Styela clava: one gene and its partner. The protein of the gene in region 2 purifies or fractionates together with the protein of the main gene of each other region. This does not show direct contact. Links are inferred from orthologs where the notes say so. Each region holds a gene or a part of one and is shown on either strand. Other genes may lie near its edges. The genes, in order: alpha-soluble NSF attachment protein-like and synaptosomal-associated protein 29-like.

Region 1 (10,998 bases), on a different chromosome or scaffold from region 2:
GCTTCCGCAAATGCATCAGAATTTTGGTTGTCATGTGTCTCGATTAAACTCTTCAACAATTGGCATTCTCTACTGTCAGAAAATGCTGGAAAGAGACCTTCGTATTTCTCCAATGATTGCCTTTAAGAAGAAATTATAAAATTAATAAGCCTCACAGAACAAAATAGTAATTAACATAAATAAAAACTAAAATGGTGCGGACTATGTAGTTAGGCCTACCGATAGTGACGCATGTAATTTACCCTAAACCACGAACCCTTGTTTCAAGGCAAGGCAGGCAATTTAAATTGGAACCTCATGAATAAAATAGATGAATCTAATTAGATTGCAACGAAACAGGGATTACATTTCTGATAGTTTGCTTCCAATATTTAGCAATTTTCTCCCTAACACTAATTTAGGTTGCTGAGAATAGTCTATTGCCTTTTGGACATTTAGTATCATCTTTATCACAATTATAATAAGTGGGTAATGCTAAAATCTCATATACATAGACACGAAGATCGTGAATCAGTGGAGGAAGGACTGAGAGCACTGTATTTGCCGAAAACATGGGTAGAACTGTAGAAGAACGATATGAAGGTGGACTAGTAATACAGAACAAAATGTCTTCTTTTCAGATAAAATATCAAGCCTCATAAAACCTGTGAGAAAATTTGAAAAAAAAGAATTGAAGTAATAGCTTTCTTTCGACTACTTCCATCTATAACTATTAAAAACTTGAACTGAATTTGAATCAAATTGTAAAAATGGTGTAAATTTATAGTCTTTGCAAATGCATTAGATCTGATCATTATTCTAAATTTTTTTTCTGTCAAAACAACTTTTACCCACATTACCTGATAGCAGTTGAAGCCAAGACAAGAAAAATTAGGAATATTACAGTAATCAGAGGCATGAGTTACACACATTTATATATTTATGCTGATATTATGAAATCTCATACTATATCACCAAATACATAGATACAGTAGTAAAGTAGAATTACAGATTGAAATTGATTGATCCATTAGCTGGAGTCCTGGAGAGAAAAGAATTTTTTCCCCACAAGTCCACTTCCATGGTTAATAAACCAGTATGTGAAAGTCTCAACACTTTGATGATAGCAAAATATACTTTTCTGTTCTGTTGTTGCTCGAGACTTATCTTCTGGTAAACCCTCACAAGGAATTTCATTCTTCATTCACAATATTTTTTAAAAGACCCAGTTGAATAAATACTTTGTAAAATGATTCATATTCAAGGATACCCAGGTGATTTGAAGTATGCATCCCACACTAAATTATTTATAGTCAGCTGACTTTTTCAGCTTTCACAGTTCTCTGACTCACAATAACAATTGTCAGGAAATGAGTGATTATCTCATAATCATAATTGACGTAAATATGATTAACAAAAAAACAATGGTCTGATTATTTAAGATTGAAAGTTGAAACTTTTATTCCCTGATAATGAGTTGATAACGCTGTTACTTTTATATCTGATATTTAGTACGAAAATATCACCATTTCATATGATTAAGCTTTATCTATTTCCTTTGAATAAAATTAATAAAATATGGCTGATTTTGAACATCAAATTCCAACATCTGCTGCACCATAGTACAAACCACTTTATACAAGTCAACATTATAGAAACAGACGATAAGGTAGTCACCTACTTCACTGATACCCGATTTGTAAATGGCCAGACACGCTTAATAAATTATGAACTGTCATCGTGGGGATTTGGAACGGTATGGAATGAGTCCGTAGTCAAGGTAGTGTCACCTTTGGCACTGCTGTAATGCCCCAGCCCCCAACTTAATAGTTTTAATCTCGATTGTAAATACGACGTCTAGAATTCTCAGTGCTTTCATTCAACTGTGAATAATCATGAATATGGTGATTTTTCTCTATAAATAAAATTTTTGATAATCCTACCTAAAGGCATTCAGTAAGTTGGATAAGGCAATTTAACAGATTTTTCGGAGACTGAATCCGTACAGATCATCCCGACTCAGGTGCTTGTGAGTGAGTTCATATTTCCTCAAAGTTAATGAGATTTAGACTCAATTTATTAAGTCAATAAATCAATAGTAACATGTAAATCACTTACATTGCATCGATTGTTCCACCCAAACAAAAATGGCAGAGTGCTGATTTGAAGAAGTACTCTTTCACCGAATATTTTAACAACGGACTATTCATTGATGACATTCCAACACGCTCATATAATTCTATGGCTTTTGTATATTGCTCAAGCTGAGCTGCATAGGCCGCCACCTTCAACCAGCACTTATTTGCACTACTCGTCGAATCTTCGCCCTTATAAAAATCTGCAGCCTATACAAACAGAAATTTTGGTTAATATTGTGGTGGAAGTACTATACAGTGAGCAGGCCTGCCCAACCTAAAAGAAAACATTTTATGCTGCCTGCAAGGTTGTTTGAAAATACTTTCTTGAATCTTCAAAAATGTATATGATCAGTGGTGTACAATGTTAAGTTAATTCTAGATCAATTCTAATAAATGCTCAGATTACAAATTCGAATAACATCCAACTTCCCACTTTATTTGAACTCACAATTTACTTTCACACCTGGCATATAATGTTGGTGCTATCATTTTTATTACCCCATCAAATCAAATCTGTAACCTAATACAAGCCATATCGGAACCCATTAGTCGAAATCTCTATGTCAATGGCTTTAAATTATACATGAAGTTTTAAAAAACACATTTACCAGTCATATCAATATTATACAGCCTCCAATTTTCACATGTTATTTATTATCAGTGATAGTTTTTGTGAATAACATTGTGCTGTATTCTGAAATAACATCAAACGAATTGTAAAATCAGAATGGTCATTTTACACAACAAAATAATAAAATGTATAAGAAGAATATGTGAAAAAATAGACCTACTCGCTCATAATGAGAAATGGCTTCTTCAAGTTTTGAAGTCTCGTTTTCATAAATTTCCGCAACGGATATATGATGTTTTGCAGCAACTGTAAATCTCCCCATATCAGTATAAATATCAATAGCCTGTATTAAACATTATTTTTATGTTTTCATAAAATCATTTGTATATTTATTTTATGTGGCGATAGTCAATTTGTAAATAAAAGTTAGAATAGAAACATTATACACAAATTTATGCATAGTTTTGCATGAATGCAAGACATTGGCTATCATAGTTTAATTAATTATATTTCGATTTATTAACCGTAATAAGGAATGGAAATGGCCGAGCCAATGCACAAACCTTCTATAATTACTGGAGGCAATGGAAATGAGCAAAATTATAAATTCCCATTCTTCAAAATTCAAACTATTCGTATCCTATTACCTGTTACTAGAATAACAGGATCTTTGATCAAATCAAATTTCTTTGCAAAAAAACTAGATAACACAAATCATTTTTTTGTGATTCTAATGCGAAAATAAAGTTTTTACTAAACTAACCAAAAACGTACAATCCTACTAAGCAATAATATGTTCATCTCACCCTTGTCAAACATTTGATAGCCGCATCTGCATCTGATTTTTTATAACAATTCCCAGCATCAACAAAATTGGAAGCCGACTCGTGTTTATTCTGTAGTGATTGTTGAATATCTGCAGACTTACAGAATGCATTTCCTGCTTCGTTCCATTTTTTCAACATCTGGAGCAAAGAACAAACGAAAAATTATATATAACGACGATAACCTATGATCTGAAATTACTATACGGTAAAAAGTCATTAATGCATGAAATGCATATTCAAATTGAATTTATAGATTTATAAGATATGTTATAATTTTATGCTACATTGGAAAGACTACAGTTTTATCGGCAAATTAAGAAAATTGAGCTGAGCTGAGATGCACGTACCCAATAACATAAGATACACAAATTTTGATATTACTTATAGTATTTTCTGATGCTATTTCGGTATGCGATCTCAGCATCAAATAACTACTTTGGTATGTGATCTCACTAGCCACACATGATCTCAATCGAATATTAAAGTGGGATCAATTGTGGTGACACTTTCGTATGCGTTCAACGAATTTCATAATTTTTCATTGAGTTCAATTCCTGAACCTAACCATGTCACCGTTAATTTAGGGTCAGATAATAACATAATACTAAATTACTGAGATCGCATATAAAGTGACACCTATTTTCTGCTGTGTATTATTTGGAAATAGTTTGTGACAGGATGAAGATCTCCAAGATATCAGGTATACTGAAAGTGGATCGAAGATCAAAAAAAATTACTGCATGTTTCAAAGTATTCTCCTTAAAGCAACAGATTAAATTGATCAATTTAATTCTTGTATTATTATGATGAGTAAAATTCCACATAGAAATCACACACACAGATTTGTTTTCACAAGCAGTATCAAGTCAAAACTAAACATGCATTGTGAAACCATGTGAGGCTATAGAAGCTATCTATAAATACTGCACCAATAGGACACCAAACATGATTGAAAGGTATGAAGGAGGGACATCAACCAATATTGTCAAAACCTTCCTGAGCTGCCGTCATGCCAGATGGCCTCGTTTCATAGACAAATCAAGTAAAAGTTTTATTGAACAAAATGTCAAGATATCTTGGAATCGGAGAACTGTGGCATACGGTACTGCATACTGTTACAAAAATTATTGACTTTAAAAACTAATATCAGAATAATGATAGTAGAAGAAATGATGTACAGTAGCCTACAAGCTGAGATGTAAAGATATCATACAAATTCACCTTAAACATATTTGCTGCCCGAACAAATTTTTCACATGCTTCTTCTTGTTTAGATCCAGATCCTAGTAATTTAGAGAAAAATCCCTTTGATGAGTTGAGGCTTTTCTCAGCCTCAGCCATCAACTGGCAGGCCTCTTGTTCTTTATCCATAGTTCGATATTAATGTTTGTAACAAATCTAACTTATACTATCAGACTATAATACAGATATACAAATATAATGTTACGAACTTACAGTACCAGTAATCAGCTTGATGATATCTTTTGAGGAATATTTTTCTATCCACATTATATAACTCTTGTTGACTAATTCCATCAAGTGCAGTTTTAAGTATTCTGTGGCGTCTGCAGCTGCCGCAAAACCAAGGCGGTATTTCCAGACCATGTACCCTATATTTTTCTTTTTTACTGAGTAGGCTAATTGGATTTTATTTTCTCGCTTTTTTTACTCCCGATCTTATCATGTTTCAGTCTTGATGATTGTATGTCAGTGTGTGCGTGCCTTAATTAGTTTTAATACTTTTGGGTACCGGTAAGCGAACACCAGACTAGGTACCATACTAAAGTACCGTACTTATTTTATCGATAACTTCCCACCTACAGAACTAGGCTAAAATCTGTACGCTTTAAACCTTACTTGAGGTTTCGTTTGCTTTCCCGATTCTATAATCAGTTTTATTTATTTTGTTTTTATCAATTATTTTAATTGTCTATTGCTGATTATGGAGTCGAAATAAACTTATAACCGTATACGTTACTGTTATACTTATACACCACAGTATCAGTATACACGGACTACGGTAGACTACCCCTGTAGTATACAGAGATACCGGTACCTGTAACGTTACGGTATATATCGTAATTCTGTAACTGTTCATTTTATTTATCAGGTAAGTTACCGGTACCGGTAGTTCTGTAGTTGAACAAGCTATTTCAATATACAAAGTTCTGTTCTGAATCTGAATTATAGAATAAAAAGAATTATAGAAATTCGGAACTGAAAGAACCGCAGCTCTGAAATAAATACTGCAGGTTTATTTTGATCGAGCTCGTCCTTTTTATAATGATGACTGAGTCACTTTTGGTCCCTCTAGTGTTACTTATTTCGAGCACTCCTAACGCTGCCATGACACTATAGATCAGTGTTCTCCAACCTTTTTTTTCGTGGTATACCTTTTACAATTTTACGAGAACTTTGTATACCTTACAATTACCAATGTTTATTTAAAGCTAAAATGAGCAATAAATGTTAGGAACAGATTGTATAAAAACTAAAATCGAAGTGGCGGGGCGAGTCATTATAAATGCTTCTTTTAGTTTTTACTGACAGACGCAATTAATTTAGTGTAGTTTCAGTGGCTTCTTTGTTCTTGCATAGTTTCGGCAATTCGTTCATAACCATGGTATTTATCGTTGAAACGTCCTCAAACTCCCACCCAGACTCTTTCAAATATTGACTTAACAGGGGAAAGTCAATGAAGTTTCTCGAAGAAGCATTATTTTTCCAGAGTTGAATTTTCATCTTCAGAGCATTGATTTTGCTAGTCGATCGAAATATATCACCTCCCTTCCCTTGAAGACTGACGTTCACTTGATTCAAACGATCAAAAATCGACGCCATGTACGCTAATTTTGCAATCCAATATATATTACGAAACCTGTTGGCTTTTTGGTCTCCTCGTTCAGTGTAATACGCCCCTAATTGTTCTCGAAGTTCAAACACACGAGAAAGAACTTTTCCTCGGGACAGCCACCGTACTTCTGAATGTAAAAGAAGTTTTTTGGAAGTGGCGGCTGTTTCCTCGCATAGTTTCGAGAAAAGTCTCGTTTGTTTTGAACTTTTCTTGATCGTATTCACAAAATATACGACCTCCCGTAGAACATCGTGTAATTCATTTTCTTTACCGGCGCGGCGGTGTGGCTCAACGGGCTAAGCGTTAGGAATACGCTCGCCACCGCACCTCTAATTACTCTGCGTGGGTTCGCAGGTTCGAATCCCATGCAGGGATGGTTATGTGCGAGAGGATTGCTGGACTCCTCGCCGTCGTTGGGTGGTTCACGTAACCGCTGGTCGGTTACGGCTTCCTCCACCACCAAGTCCATGCTTCCGAAAACAAACAATACAGTAAAAACTAATCCCATACCCGACTTGGAATGGTAACCGGACGAGAGGCCGTGGTTCGCCATATGGATAAGCCGTCTTATCGGCTTTCCTCTCCCCCGGGATAAATATGTAAATCCTATCCTACCACTAGCGTCACCTGCATTCAGTTCAAGTTTCTTTGTTACTAATGCCTCGCGGTGGAGAATACAATGAATTCCTATGCATTCTGGAGACTTTCGCTTAATTCTCTCGATCAAACCTTTCTGTGAGCCTCGCATAGCTGCTGCTCCATCTGTTGTAACCGATTTGCACTTTGACCAATCTAACCCTTCTTCTTCAAAGAACTCGTTTATTTTATTGAAAATTGCTTCAGCAGTTGCCTTTTCTTCAACTGGTTGACAAAATAGATAATGTTCAACTATCCTGTTAGATTTTATGTCCGGAAATCTACAGAACACCATGAGCTGAGACTCACTGCTTATATCAGTGCTTTCATCCAACTGAATGCCAAAGGAGGAGGCTTCTAGTAACTTCTGAATTAGTTGTTCTTTTAAATCTGCGGATATAACGGCACATCGTCGCCATACAGTAGTGTCAGAAACAGCAATTTTTTTGACCTTGTCAACTGCTTTTGTTCCACCATGAATCAAGTCAGCCACAATTTCTAAACAAGGTAGCACTACACGTTCAAGTTCTGTGTACGGGCGTTTAACTTTCATCATGTGATGTTATCGCCATCTTGGTGCACATACTTCTTTCAGGAGGTCCCTATTTTCATGAGACCATATATATGCGCTACCGAAATGCTAAGGCCGTACGATACTCATGCTAACGTTGTACGATACTCATGCTAAAGCGCCAGCTACCGAAATGAAAAGTATTGTCTTCAGTTACAAGCAGAATCTCACACCAGGCAGGTAAGCACACTCTAAATATAGCTACGGGCCGTCGACTGAAAAAATCTCAACTTCAGAGTGAAAAATAAGAATGAGAATTAGATTGTGCCAAAACGGAAGAACAGCAATTACATGCTTAAAACGAATTAAAGACAATCACTACAAACTTACTCTCCTGACCATGCAAATTTTTCTGAAGACCTCATTCTCTCCTTGTCTGATTTCAAAAATGAAAACAATTCACTACAGTGCATATCTTTGAAATTATATTGGGGAGTCAACATGCCTTTTATAGTCGCAAATTGTTTCTCTCTTTAGTCCACTGACTTTGCATCAGTGAAAAGACTCTCTCTACAATATTGGCATTGTGGGATGTAATAGCAAAGGAAAACTGTTCAATCCTTAAAATTTCGGAGTGGCATGTGATGTTCGTAGACTGATCGAAATATTTGCACCATTTCTCATGCGTTGGCAGTTTAATAAATTCTTCGTCTTGTAGGTAACTTTCCACAAACTGCTTCAAGTTACAGAATTGGTCAAATCATTTATCATCGTCCACATCAACCCGTTTACTAATCAGATTTTCCAGGCAAGGCTTTACATCAGGGGTCGGCAACCTTTTGTCGCTCGCGGGCCAAAACCAAAGGTTGCAAGTCATTGGCGGGCCTCATATTTTTAGAATGTTGAAAACCGAACGGATAGCCGATGAATCACACTTTTTCACACAGATTAGAAGTTAAATTTAGAGCAGTGCACGAAGACTGACCATTGGAATATTTTCTGCACCATTAAACCATTTGCGCTAAGCATCAACTTTTCTGCGTTTTGTTGCCATTTGAGTAATTATAATTAAATTATAGGGTCATTAAACGTGCAATTGTGAATTATATACTTGTTAGGTTATAGCATAAATGATTGTTAGATGAATATGATATTACCGTATATTGCTATTTCGTAGATTGTCTCTGACTTGCAAGTTACCCGTTCACCCTTCAGCTTCAACGCCCACGTGAATGAAGGAAACTTTAGAAAACTCTGTTTGATTTTATTCTCAGATTTCCACGATACACAGAATATAAATCTTATAACATTTATCCACACTAGCTTTGAATGGTTTACAATTTACATCGTCTTCCCTCTTTTCCATCTCCTTATCGAAAGATATCGGAGTCATATTTATACGTTGATCATAAATCCAATTAAATGCTGTAAACGTGAGCTCGTGATTCACGTTATAAACAGAAATTCCTATTATCTCAACAAGGGTAATTATGTACATCGTACGGATGGGAACTTAGATATAATTATTTCAATCAGTGCCAAAGGTCTTGAGAATATAGATTTTAATTTGATAATGACTGGGTGGAACTTGTTATGTTCTTAAACCTGGTGTAATTTGATTCCTACGAAAGTCTTTGTTCGAATTTTGAGAGAAATTAACTTTGTTTTCATATTTTTAACATGAAATGGGGTACATTTGGGGGTAAGTTGCTATAAGGTTATAACATAATTTAGCCTACGCGTGTCGCAAAATTAATTCTGTTATGTAAAGAATATAATCGTTAAAACAGCTGTTTTGTTACTATAATCCAGTGAAGCGTCGCGGGCCGGATTATATTGCTCCGCGGACCGGATCCGGCCTGCGGGCCGTAGGTTGCCAACCCCTGCTTTACATCCTTCCAACTTGGTATCTCGTTCAAGGTTATCCATTTGAAATAAGTAAACTCTTCCATTGGTTTTATCCATTTGCACAAGTACTAAAAGCATTTGCAAAGTTTGCAACTTTAACACCATTGATAAGGAAAACGCTCTGTTATATTACAATTTCATACAACCTCGTAGTAAAAATATGCGCACGGTACGAAATAACAATGTTCTGTATTAGCGGTGTGCACATTACGATTGCAGATGCAGTAAAATTCCGGACATTTGAGCATTTTTTTAAATTCCTCCCGGACGCAAAATTTAACCCTAAATTCCGGACATGTCCGGAATTTTCCGGACGGTATGGCAACCCTATTGTATACCCTACTTATGGTCTGGTATACACTTAGGTATACAGTATACCCGGTTGAAGAGCACTGCTATAGATGACACATGGTTTCTCTGTTAGTCCCAACGACTGACATACCGGTTAGTCCTTGGCATTGAGTTGTATATACACCTCAGTGGCCCTTAGTCGTTGGTTAGGGCAACCCCGTGCAACTCCGGAAATTTGGTCCCGATGTTGGATTCGCCGCCACGCACGACTTGGTTCTGACAGATTATTGCTTCGAAAATCATCGAGCGACTAGGCCGCGAGCCGAGGACATTTATCTTTCAGTTTCGTAGCGCACATCAGGTAACTACCTGAAAATGATTTTAAAATGTTCCTTAGAAATTTAGTAACAAATATTGCCTTGTTCCCACTTACAAAAGTTGCACGTTTTACAGAAAAGACGCTTTTACTACAATAAATATGTGTTACCATCTGTCCTATTTTCTCTGCTTTTCCGGTATCATGGGCCAATGAACGCAGACTTCTGCACGACGTAACAGTCAAGTTAGTCAGCTGTAGGTGGATCCCCAGTGGTCGGATGAATATCAGATGTACTCAACTGCTCGCTTTTGCGTTGAGTAGCCTTTCCATAGTTTTTTTCAGTTACCGGTAATATTAGTCCAGTTATTCTAAGGAGGTGTTGAAAAGTATAGGTAAGATATTAAACACTTGTATATCCTTGCCATAAATAGCAATTTTAGTTGAGCACTAGCTCATAAGACGTTGTTAAATAGGTACCGGTACGGTGCGGTAACTCCAAGGAAGGCTAGACCTAGAATAATATGTCACAAACAACGATATTTTCTGGCTTGCATGAAATGTTTATGATTAATTTAATGACTCTTCTTGACTATTCAGCAGACTTATACTACTATATAGGCCACAGCATATTTGGAAATAGAAATGAATGGCTGTTTCTGTAATGCACGGTTGTGTGAAAGAGAAGAAATTAATCAATTTTACTAATGTCGGTTAGTCTAAATCTAAATTCATAGAGTCGACAAGAACCTGGGAAGCAATCATAAGTTATGCCGGAGTGGAAAGAAAGGTACGGTAGCATTGGAAATGATTGAGAGGTGAGAAATGAAGTTGTAGACAAACAGTTGATGTTTCAAAATATAGTCTATAGCCTAGTCCATACTCATACTGCTGTACTGTCATGGGACATTTCAGACTGTGATATATCAAAATTTAGTGTAGATATAGTCTAGTAATGGTATGCAAA
Region 2 (11,377 bases):
AATTGCTAATATTGGTTTGTAATGCGATGAAATCCCATCTTAGCATTTCTGCCTCTCGCAATTGCTGCGTATACTTATCGGGGAAGTTCTGTGGCGTGGTTATCAAATGAAAAAACAAACATGGGAGTATTTTTTCTACTTCTCTACTACTATCAAACCTTGACATTTTGTGAAAACTTTTTTCCATGCAACCTTTTTTAAAACATCCCCAACAACCACAATTACTTCTGTTATTAAACTTCCGAAACAAACACATAAAATCATCAACAGATGAATATCACCAAGTAGATATTGCTGAATTGATCTTTATTTTACCATTTTGCATGTAATTCTTTTTGGTAAACCTGTTATCTGTCGTAAATACAGCACATTTGACAATGTTGTAGTGTGACTATTTTAGCCTTTAAATGAGGCGGGGTTAAAATTCGAAATTTCCGAATCAATCTCCGTGATTACATGCTTGTCTTACACTTGCACAGTGTGTCCCACATTCGAGACGATTGTCTTTCTTCCCGAACATTAAAAAAGTTGACTTTTCAGCGTATAACGATTTATCTGTCTAGTAAAATTTAGTTGTGTTCAACGTAACTCGAAATTGTATCGATTGACGGCAAAATGAAGTTATGGACAAAGGAAACTACACGGACAACGTGAACTTAAAATCAATATGTCCGCTTCTGCTTGTTTAAAGACTTGCTTGGAGTGATATCGTATACCGCCCTATTAGTAGATAGTAGCACATTACATAATCTATCGCTGGGCATAAAATAACAAATCTTTATGTGTGTGGTATCCAACTTCAACCATTGCGTGAATTAATATGTTCTTTCTGCTTGTCTAAAGCCTTACATAGAGTACTATCGTAAAACGCCCTAATAATAACTAACAGCACAATGCATAACCTGTTGCTGGATATAAAATACCAAATCTTTAGATGTGTGTGATCGTGAGGTGGCGGGCCTCATTGAGTTTGTTAACATAATCGCCGACGCCATTGAGGGTGATCAGCTCTATTTCGTTATTGTGACGTCGCAGTGGCGTAATTTTTGGATGACGAAGTCAGGTGAGGGTCAGGAATATTATATACAAAAATTGTTACGCTAAGCCTAATAGAAGTTATTGAGGTAAGAAACTACACCCATAGCGGACACACAGGCGTATTTATCACGATTGCATTATGGTCGCTATTATTAGGCAAGCTCTATTTCGTTATTGTGAATTCGCATTGACGTTATTTTTTGATGACGAAGTCAGGGCAGGGTCAGGAATATTATATGCAAAAATTGTTACGCTAAGTTAACTAGAAGTTATTGAGGTAAGAAACTACATCCATAGGTGTCATTACTAGTAATCGTCGCTATTATTGGGCAAGCGTTATTTCGTGATTGTGACGTTCCAGTGACGTAATTTTTGGATGACGAAGTCAGGTGAGGGTCAGGAATGATATATGCAAAAATTGTTACGCTAAGTTAACTAGAAGTTATTGAGGTAAGAAACTACACCCATAGCGGACAGACAGGCGTATTTAACACAATTGCATTATGGTCGCTATTATTAGGCAAGCTCTATTTCGTTATTGTGAAGTCGCATTGACGTAATTTTTGGATGATGAAGTCAGGTGAGGGTCAGAAATTTTATATGCAAAAATTGTTACGCTAAGATAATTAAAAGTTATTGAAGTAAGAAACTACATCCATAGGTGGCATTACCAGTAATCGTCGCTATTATTAGGCAAGCTCTATTTCGTTATTGTGACGTCGTATTGACGTAATTTTTTGATGATTAAATCAGGTGAGGGTCAGGAATATTACGTGCAAAAATTGTTACGCTAAGTTAACTAGAAGTTATTGAGGTACGAAACTACACCCATACCGGACACACAGGCGTATTTATCACGATTGCATTATGGTCGCTATTATTAGGCAAGCTCTATTTCGTTATTGTGAGTTCGCATTGACGTAATTTTTGGATGACGAAGTCAGGGCAGGGTCAGGAATATTATATGCAAAAATTGTTACGCTAAGTTAACTAGAAGTTATTGAGGTAAGAAACTACATCCATAGGTGTCATTACTAGTAATCGTCGCTATTATTGGGCAAGCGTTATTTCGTGATTGTGACGTTCCAGTGACGTAATTTTTGGATGACGAAGTCAGGTGAGGGTCAGGAATGATATATGCAAAAATTGTTACGCTAAGTTAACTAGAAGTTATTGAGGTAAGAAACTACACCCATAGCGGACACACAGGCGTATTTATCACGATTGCATTATGGTCGCTATTATCAGGCAAGCTCTATTTTGTTATTGTGAATTCGCATTGACGTAATTTTTGGATGACGAAGTCAGGTGAGGGTCAGGAATGATATATGCAAAAATTGTTACGCTAAGTTAACTAGAAGTTATTGAGGTAAGAAACTACATCCATAGGTGTCATTACTAGTAATCGTCGCTTTTATTGGGCAAGCGTTATTTCGTGATTGTGACGTTCCAGTGACGTAATTTTTGGATGACGAAGTCAGGTGAGGGTCAGGAATGATATATGCAAAAATTGTTACGCTAAGTTAACTAGAAGTTATGTAGGTAGGAAACTACATCCATAGGTGCCATTACGAATAACGTCGCTATTATTGGGCAAGCTCTATTTCGTTATTGTGGCGTTGCAGTGACGTAATTATTGGATGACGAAGTCGGGTGAGGGTCAGGAATCTTATATACCAAAATTGTTACGCTAAGCCTAATAGAAGTTATTGAGGTACGAAACTACACCCATAGCGGACACACAGGCGTATTTATCACGATTGCATTATGGTCGCTATTATTAGGCAAGCTCTATTTCGTTATTGTGAGTTCGCATTGACGTAATTTTTGGATGACGAAGTCAGGGCAGGGTCAGGAATATTATATGCAAAAATTGTTACGCTAAGTTAACTAGAAGTTATTGAGGTAAGAAACTACATCCATAGGTGTCATTACTAGTAATCGTCGCTATTATTGGGCAAGCGTTATTTCGTGATTGTGACGTTCCAGTGACGTAATTTTTGGATGACGAAGTCAGGTGAGGGTCAGGAATGATATATGCAAAAATTGTTACGCTAAGTTAACTAGAAGTTATTGAGGTAAGAAACTACACCCATAGCGGACACACAGGCGTATTTATCACGATTGCATTATGGTCGCTATTATCAGGCAAGCTCTATTTTGTTATTGTGAATTCGCATTGACGTAATTTTTGGATGACGAAGTCAGGTGAGGGTCAGGAATGATATATGCAAAAATTGTTACGCTAAGTTAACTAGAAGTTATTGAGGTAAGAAACTACATCCATAGGTGTCATTACTAGTAATCGTCGCTTTTATTGGGCAAGCGTTATTTCGTGATTGTGACGTTCCAGTGACGTAATTTTTGGATGACGAAGTCAGGTGAGGGTCAGGAATGATATATGCAAAAATTGTTACGCTAAGTTAACTAGAAGTTATGTAGGTAGGAAACTACATCCATAGGTGCCATTACGAATAACGTCGCTATTATTGGGCAAGCTCTATTTCGTTATTGTGGCGTTGCAGTGACGTAATTATTGGATGACGAAGTCGGGTGAGGGTCAGGAATCTTATATACCAAAATTGTTACGCTAAGCCTAATAGAAGTTATTGAGGTACGAAACTACACCCATAGCGGACACACAGGCGTATTTATCACGATTGCATTATGGTCGCTATTATTAGGCAAGCTCTATTTCGTTATTGTGAGTTCGCATTGACGTAATTTTTGGATGACGAAGTCAGGGCAGGGTCAGGAATATTATATGCAAAAATAGTTACGCTAAGTTAACTAGAAGTTATTGAGGTAAGAAACTACATCCATAGGTGTCATTACTAGTAATCGTCGCTATTATTGGGCAAGCGTTATTTCGTGATTGTGACGTTCCAGTGACGTAATTTTTGGATGACGAAGTCAGGTGAGGGTCAGGAATGATATATGCAAAAATTGTTACGCTAAGTTAACTAGAAGTTATTGAGGTAAGAAACTACACCCATAGCGGACAGACAGGCGTATTTAACACAATTGCATTATGGTCGCTATTATTAGGCAAGCTCTATTTCGTTATTGTGAAGTCGCATTGACGTAATTTTTGGATGATGAAGTCAGGTGAGGGTCAGAAATTTTATATGCAAAAATTGTTACGCTAAGATAATTAAAAGTTATTGAAGTAAGAAACTACATCCATAGGTGGCATTACCAGTAATCGTCGCTATTATTAGGCAAGCTCTATTTCGTTATTGTGACGTCGTATTGACGTAATTTTTTGATGATCAAATCAGGTGAGGGTCAGGAATATTACGTGCAAAAATTGTTACGCTAAGTTAACTAGAAGTTATTGAGGTACGAAACTACACCCATACCGGACACACAGGCGTAATTATCACGATTGCATTATGGTCGCTATTATTGGGCAAGCTCGATTTCGTTATTGTGACATCGCATTGACGTAATTTTGGGATGACGAAGTCAGGTGAGGGTCAGGAATGATATATGCAAAAATTGTTACGCTAAGATAAGTATAAGTTATCGAGGTAAGAAACTACATCCATTGCGCTAAAGCAAATTAATATGTCGGTTTCTGCTTGTCTAAAGCCTTGCATAGAGTGAAAGCGTTCCACGTCCTATTAATAAAATGTGGCCCAATACATGATCAGTCTCTGGATATTAAATAACAAGTCTTTATGTGTGTGGTACCCAACTTCAACCATTGCGTAAAATAACATGTATTTTCTGCTTGTCTAAAGCCTTGGTTAGAGTTGTATCGTATAACGCTCTATTTTAGATTGTAGCACGATACATGAGCTATTGCTGGACAGAAATTGGTCAGAATGGGATATCGTGAACGTTCCTTGGCGACAATTTAGTCGCTTGTGATTCTTGTTTATTTTGAGCTCTGTACAACGACCCCGATAAGAGAGAGGTCGCTGACGTATTGAGTTTGTTGACATACTCGTAGGCGCCATTACGGGTGACCGTCGCTATACTTTGGCAAGCTGTATTTCGTTATTGTGACGTCGCAGTGACGTAATTTTTGGATGACGTCATCAGGTGGGGGTCAGGAATCATATATCCAAAAATTGTTACGCCACGCCCACTAGAAGTTATTCAGGTAAGAAAGTACATGAGACCCGGATCGGACAGGTTTGATGCAAGTTGCAGAGTTGTGCTGGAACCACAGTGACTACGGCTGTAGTCACTTTGCTGCTTTGGCTAGAACCAGTGTGTTTTAGGTATTTCTGTTTTTGCAATGGCTGAGACTGAATGTGTGATTTAAATATTTTTTACTCAGATTCTTGCCAGTTTTCCCTATCTTTTGTGTGTTCATGGTTATATTTTGGTGTATGTGTACATTTTTCTAGTGGGATAAAAGTAAACTTATTGTTATAATAATAAGTATAACTTTATTTCGACTCTGTAATCATCATACAGTCATAACAGACAATAAAATGATTGATAAAAACATAAAGAGGTGAGAGGAATGATATGTTCACTCACCCAAAAATACAGAAATATGAAATTAATTCACATACATACCTATACCTGTATTCGGATATTATACAACTCTATACGACTGACCTGGCTTATTTCGGTATTTCAAAGATTTCTTTCAAAAGAAACATTGGTCCTATAAAAAATCACTTCAGCCCATTTTCAGATTTTTGATAAAATTGCTAAATTACAGAATTACGGGACTTATATTCTTTGTCTTCATTTACAGATAAATTTCTGACTTTAGTAAGGTAGGGTAATATTATATATTTTGACGAACGTATTTGTAAGCTAACTGTATCACAAAACAAGACTATATCTCTGGAAAACTGCTATACTCGGACTACTAATTTTATTTTATGAAAATTTTGCAAAATGTCTGGAAATCCATGGTTGGATGACGTGGAGTCGTCGTCACGTCCGCCAAATCGATGGGCAGATGATGACGAAGAAGATTTTGATCCAGATAAAAACTATCTTGAACAAGTTGTCAAACGTAAAGAAGTTGATATGGTTGCAAGCACCCAAAGATCATTAGGAATGATTTATGAATCTGAGCAAGTGGGAGCAGCTACTGGGGAGGTAAATATACATATAAAATAAATGTACAACCTAATTTCCTATTACATGTTTCCCTAATTCTCTAAAGTCAAGCCGAGTCATGGTCTCATGTCGAGTCGATCACTGAGTTAAGACTCGCCTGGCGATTATTTAGAGTACGACTCTGGGTCACTTTCGAGTATTCAATGAATGAGGACTCAAGTTTAGTCAATGTCCTAAGTCTCCCAAGCACTGTTTATCATCATGTTAGTTTGTAATGAATAGTCCTCCATATTTATTGCTCAGGTGCTTTGATGTATTGATAGACCTTTGGAATAGCCTTAGATCATTGTAAGCGTGGCCTATAAGGTACACAAGTGGAGAGTTTCAACTTCCAGTAGTAGGGACATCCTTAAACATTCAGTCCTGACAGTGGAGTATTATTCAATTTTTCCGTGTCCAGATGTCTTATTATCATTAACTTTATATTACAGGAGCTCATAAGGCAAGGCGAAGCTTTAAAACGCACTGAACAACGGGTTGACCGAATGGAACAAGATTTAAAAGAAAGCGATCGACATATCGCCAGTATAAAAAGTTTATGGGGAGCTTTTGTCAATAAATTCAGGAAGGAACCTGCACCAACTCCAGTCACAACATATGATGATTCACAACCAGACTCACGGTTAGTTTTAGTCAAATATGGCCCACCTTGGTATATGACTAAGTAAAACAGATTGATTTCATAGAAGTTTTTTTCGTGTGATACAGGATACTAAAATATAAAGCTCTCGATAACATGTTATTAAAAGATTGGCATTGATATTCAAATTTCTTTCTTTAATAAAATTCTAGGAACAGCAGTTCAGTTTTCATAGTGTTTTTGTGCAGTGCAGGAGTGATGGTATATAATGCTGGAAATATCATTCGTGATCAACTTTTCTTTTTAGCGATTGAGTGAGACATATATTTTTATTGGCATAGTCAATGCTATTTCAAGGGTGTTAATGACCATTTTTGAATGTTCAAAATTGATTTATTTATACATCGTATAATTTGTCCTACTTTGCAATTCTGATGCATAAGTATCAAATTATAAATATCTGAATTTTTTTTAAATGGCTTTAAATTGGTTTTTATCGAGGTAAATCCAATAGATAATTTAATTGGACTCCTGTTAGTCTAGAATGTAATTGGTTTTGAGCATATTTATTATTAACAGGGATTTATGATTAGGATTAGTCTTCATTAGGAAGTGAAATCTTAGTTTAATTTACTGAAATTATTTATTATGATTATAATTCAATCATCATATTGATAGTTTCAGTTTCAATAGTTATATAATGTTAATTATAATTTGATGTAGTGTGTGCTTGTAGCATAACTTATTCTTGCTTGGCCTACGTATATGGCCTATATATATTGTTGGGTTCCATTACATTTGAACCCACGTACATTTGAACCCATGACAATTGCACCTGTATGCTATTGCACCTATGGAATTTTTTTGTTTTTCGGATAGTTGAACCCACACTAACCCTAACCCGTGGATATACACATGGGTTCAAATGTACGTGGGTTCAAATGTTTGGTCACCATATTGTTGGTGTTATTTTCTATAATGAGTTGGTGTTGTGATCATGAATGCTATGTTTCACCGTGTAGAAAGTTTAGACAAGTTATATCAATAGTTGACCTTTGAATCATCATATGATTCATTTCCCCCTTTTGGAACAGAGTAAAGTTATTGTACGAAGTGACCTTTACAATAAGCTGTTTCACATGGCTATTTTAGCTGACTGAGAGTCATTGATGTGAAATGAGGACATGTGAAACAAAATTGTTTTGCTGTCAAACCCTATTCTCTTGCCAAACATAGCCATATATGAACCATTAGACTTCCATGTATAATTCCTAAATTATTTCTAAATAATGTTGAATGTAAAAGGATATCGGAAATATTCACATTCCATTCCAAACTTTGAGCCATTTGAAAAAGACTGCTTGACAAAAAATTTGTCTCTGGCACCAGAAAGATAATTTAGACTCCAGCTCTTCTCTCTAAGAAAATCATATTTCTAATGAACACAAATGTTGTTACTGTAGTTGGAGAAATCTGTGGACGAAAAGCAGCTATCATAGCAAAATCTCCCTAACTAGGTTTTCAAATTTAAATCTTCTTTTCCAGGTTAGGAAAGGCCGTCGTGAATTCCAAAGTATCTGGATATCAACCTGAAGAAGATCATCCAGTATTGTTAAGACAAGATGATTCCAGGGAAAGATATGGAGCAGGATATAGCCAACAACAAGCTAAGAATGAGAGAATGGCACAAGTCGATGATAACTTGGGTTTGTCTCGAATTTATTGCTGCCTATTTATGTCTGTTAATAAGATTCAAATATAGTATGATTTTGTTTGCTCAAGTCCATGCATCTGAAATAAATAAATGCTTAACTAACTCCATACCTGGATTGATACCCAGACGAAGTCCGCCATATGATTATGCAGTCTTATCGTCTTTCCCTGCCCCGATGATAATCAAAGTAATAGGAAGTGATAGGACTTCCATATGACTGATGTCAGGTATATAGTTTGGGTATGGAGAATGGGACATATTATTACTGAATATTACGATGTAGCGAATATAAATACCATACATCGTGAAATTTATGATTACACAGCAAAAAAACTTAGTATTAGAGGTTGAGGCTAACCTTTGTCTGAGTACTTACTGAGTACTATTGGGAAAAAGTCTGTGAAAAAGTAATATTCCTATTATCAAAGCTACTATCAGAAATTTTTGTTAAACAACACTACAGCTCCCTAAACCTGAGTGGCGTGTTAAGTCAGATCAGGGATTATCTGATTAATTAATGAGTCTGGGTGGTCGTCTCATTTTATGACTCAAGTCACTCATGAGTTTTAACGATAAATGGTGACACGAATGCAACCTGACTCAAGTCTTATTAACACTGGTAAACACCAAATATCCTTGTTATCTCTATTTCAGATCAAATTTCTTCGGGATTACGAAGGCTCAAAGATCTTGGAATTGGTTTAGGAGAAGAAATTGAATCACAGGATAGGATTTTGACAAGGCTTGGTGATAAGGTCGAAAGAGTCGATAATAAGACACACATTACTAGCAAGCAGTTAATGAAATTGAATCATTCATAGGCTTTAAAATATGTTGCTATTTTTGTCCATATATTATTGTAGTATTTTTCATAGATGTGATTCCTAAAAAAAGTAGAAGCGGCTGAGCATTAATGAATAATTTGTAAAAATAATGATGAAATTCAACATATTGCTTCTTGAATTGAATAGCGGTTTTCTGATCCACTGGATGCATGTCTCAGTTTATTTGTGTATTCCTTGAGTTTGTTTTTAGCGAGATTTTTCTAGTAGGGATGGCCAAAATCAAATACATCCGGAAACGTTTTTGAATAAGAAGAATATTTCAAAAATAGCTCGTGAATTTCAGTCGTAATGCAGGATGTTTATTCATATTCTCTTTCCCAAAAGTTTATTTTTGTCTGATGATAAACCTTAAAATACCCAATCAAGATCTGACTTTATCATTCTGCGCATCACTCACTATACTTCACCTTTCTATAAATAGTAGAACATAGTAATTAGAAATTCGAGACTAATTTTTATTATTGAAGCATAAGGCCCATTGACGCTCCTAATATTTAAAAACAACCTTATGGTTCCTTGTATTATTTTTTGTATATAGTTTTTCACACTGATGTAAAAGATATGAAGTGTGGCATATTATTAAAGCTTATTATAACCATTTTCTTTCTATTATAAACCTTGGAAAGGATGTTCACTGTATAGAATACCTACAGTGTAGGTGTGAAATTGATGATCTTCCATTTAAGGTTCTAATAAAGCCTAGTTTAAGCCAATATTTATTAGAAATCCTTGCCAATAAACCTGCCCCCAATAGTGCTGTGATCTGTGCAAGGTTCCAATAGTAACAGATTTGTATCCTTTACTTTGCTAAAATATGTGATGACTGAGTATATAGTCTTTAAGTCTTATGTGATCGGCGGGATTATTATAGTTATAAGTATGTTATAGACTTCTATGGGTCAATCAAGAATTATATTCAGATGTTAATATAAGATTTGTTTGCTATTCTTCTGAGATGCCTTCTTAATAATAACTAGTTTTGGACTCGAGGACTGCCAGAGGCGTTTAGAAATTTCTGTTCACTGGGTCTGGCCGGAAATTGTGGCTCTTCAAGGGTCTAGTTGTGGCTACGAAAAATAGCTATTTTTGCATTTCAAAAGCGGGGGATCCAACACCTCAATAGCTGTTCCCTGCTTTCTATACTAGACTGAAGATATTGCGTATAATATATGGACTGGCTTATATTATAAGGTTTAGTAAACTATTTATTGAAATAGTTTATAATGAACATGTAAATTTATGCAATGGAATACGAACGTGCATCTGGCTGGGGATTTTTGAAGTCTAAACCTTGTACACAAATAACTCCACAATGTGTGCAATGCTAATGTATTTCATGCCTTTTCCTCAAATAAAGATACAATTATGATAGAGTTTCTTGCTTCTTTTAGACACCACCATCTTCCCAGTCTGTGTTCTTGTCCCACACCTATAAAAAGCTTATTCCCAGTCGGTGAAAATTGTAAACTGTTCACAAATCCAACAACTGGTATATCAAAAAGGTGTTCAATGGTTAAAAATTTGGGTCCGCATTTCCAGATTTTTACTGCTCCGTTAGACGAGCCAGTTGCCACTAAATCAGAGTTTATTAAAGCTGTGACGGCAGTTATCCAAGGGCTTTTACTACTCGAATCCGGATGTGCATTTTTTACACAAGTAGTCGGCTTCTTTTTCATTACACTCCATAGACAAATTGACCCATCATCCGCTCCAGAGATGAAATATTCTTCGTTGATAAGTTTTAGGCAGTCTATGGATCCATTGTGACCGTGATAGACAAGTTGCGATTCTTCAGCTATTTTCCAAATTCGTATTGATCCATCCCGTCCACCAGCTGTGGCACATCTCTCCCTGGACAGGCTGTCACATGCTTGGACCAGGTCCTGATGTCCGAATAACGTCTCTACATAACCCATCGCATCAAGGTCCCAGACCTTAACACAGCGATCAAACGAACTTGAAAAAAGTTGGTGTGAATTCAATCGAAAAGCAACACCGCTTACGGCACCTCGATGGCCTTGAAAATGATGCAGGTGTTCCATTGTTTCCGCCTTCCACACATGTATCATTTTATCCATGCTACCAGAAACCAAAAATTCACCATCA

The links.
Region 1: the proteins of synaptosomal-associated protein 29-like (region 2) and alpha-soluble NSF attachment protein-like purify together in Drosophila melanogaster (affinity purification with mass spectrometry; 3 studies listed by BioGRID, with this or other methods). This does not show direct contact. The link is inferred for Styela clava from reciprocal best matches to the Drosophila melanogaster genes Snap29 and alphaSnap.

Annotation. Positions count from the first base shown.
Region 1 is NC_135261.1:11,686,179-11,697,176, reverse strand, and holds the start of alpha-soluble NSF attachment protein-like, read right to left. Parts: upstream 4,932-10,998; 5' UTR 4,887-4,931; coding exon 4,737-4,886; intron 3,654-4,736; coding exon 3,495-3,653; intron 3,032-3,494; coding exon 2,909-3,031; intron 2,325-2,908; coding exon 2,098-2,324; intron 121-2,097; coding exon 1-120. Other genes in the region: zinc finger BED domain-containing protein 5-like, read right to left, coding at 6,072-6,496, 6,985-7,558. UniProt on the Drosophila melanogaster protein: Required for vesicular transport between the endoplasmic reticulum and the Golgi apparatus. Also between the endosome and phagosome.
Region 2 is NC_135264.1:14,194,721-14,206,097, forward strand, and holds synaptosomal-associated protein 29-like, read left to right. Parts: upstream 1-5,757; 5' UTR 5,758-5,904; coding exon 5,905-6,111; intron 6,112-6,563; coding exon 6,564-6,754; intron 6,755-8,257; coding exon 8,258-8,418; intron 8,419-9,080; coding exon 9,081-9,247; 3' UTR 9,248-10,605; downstream 10,606-11,377. Other genes in the region: U3 small nucleolar RNA-interacting protein 2-like, read right to left, coding at 10,606-11,377.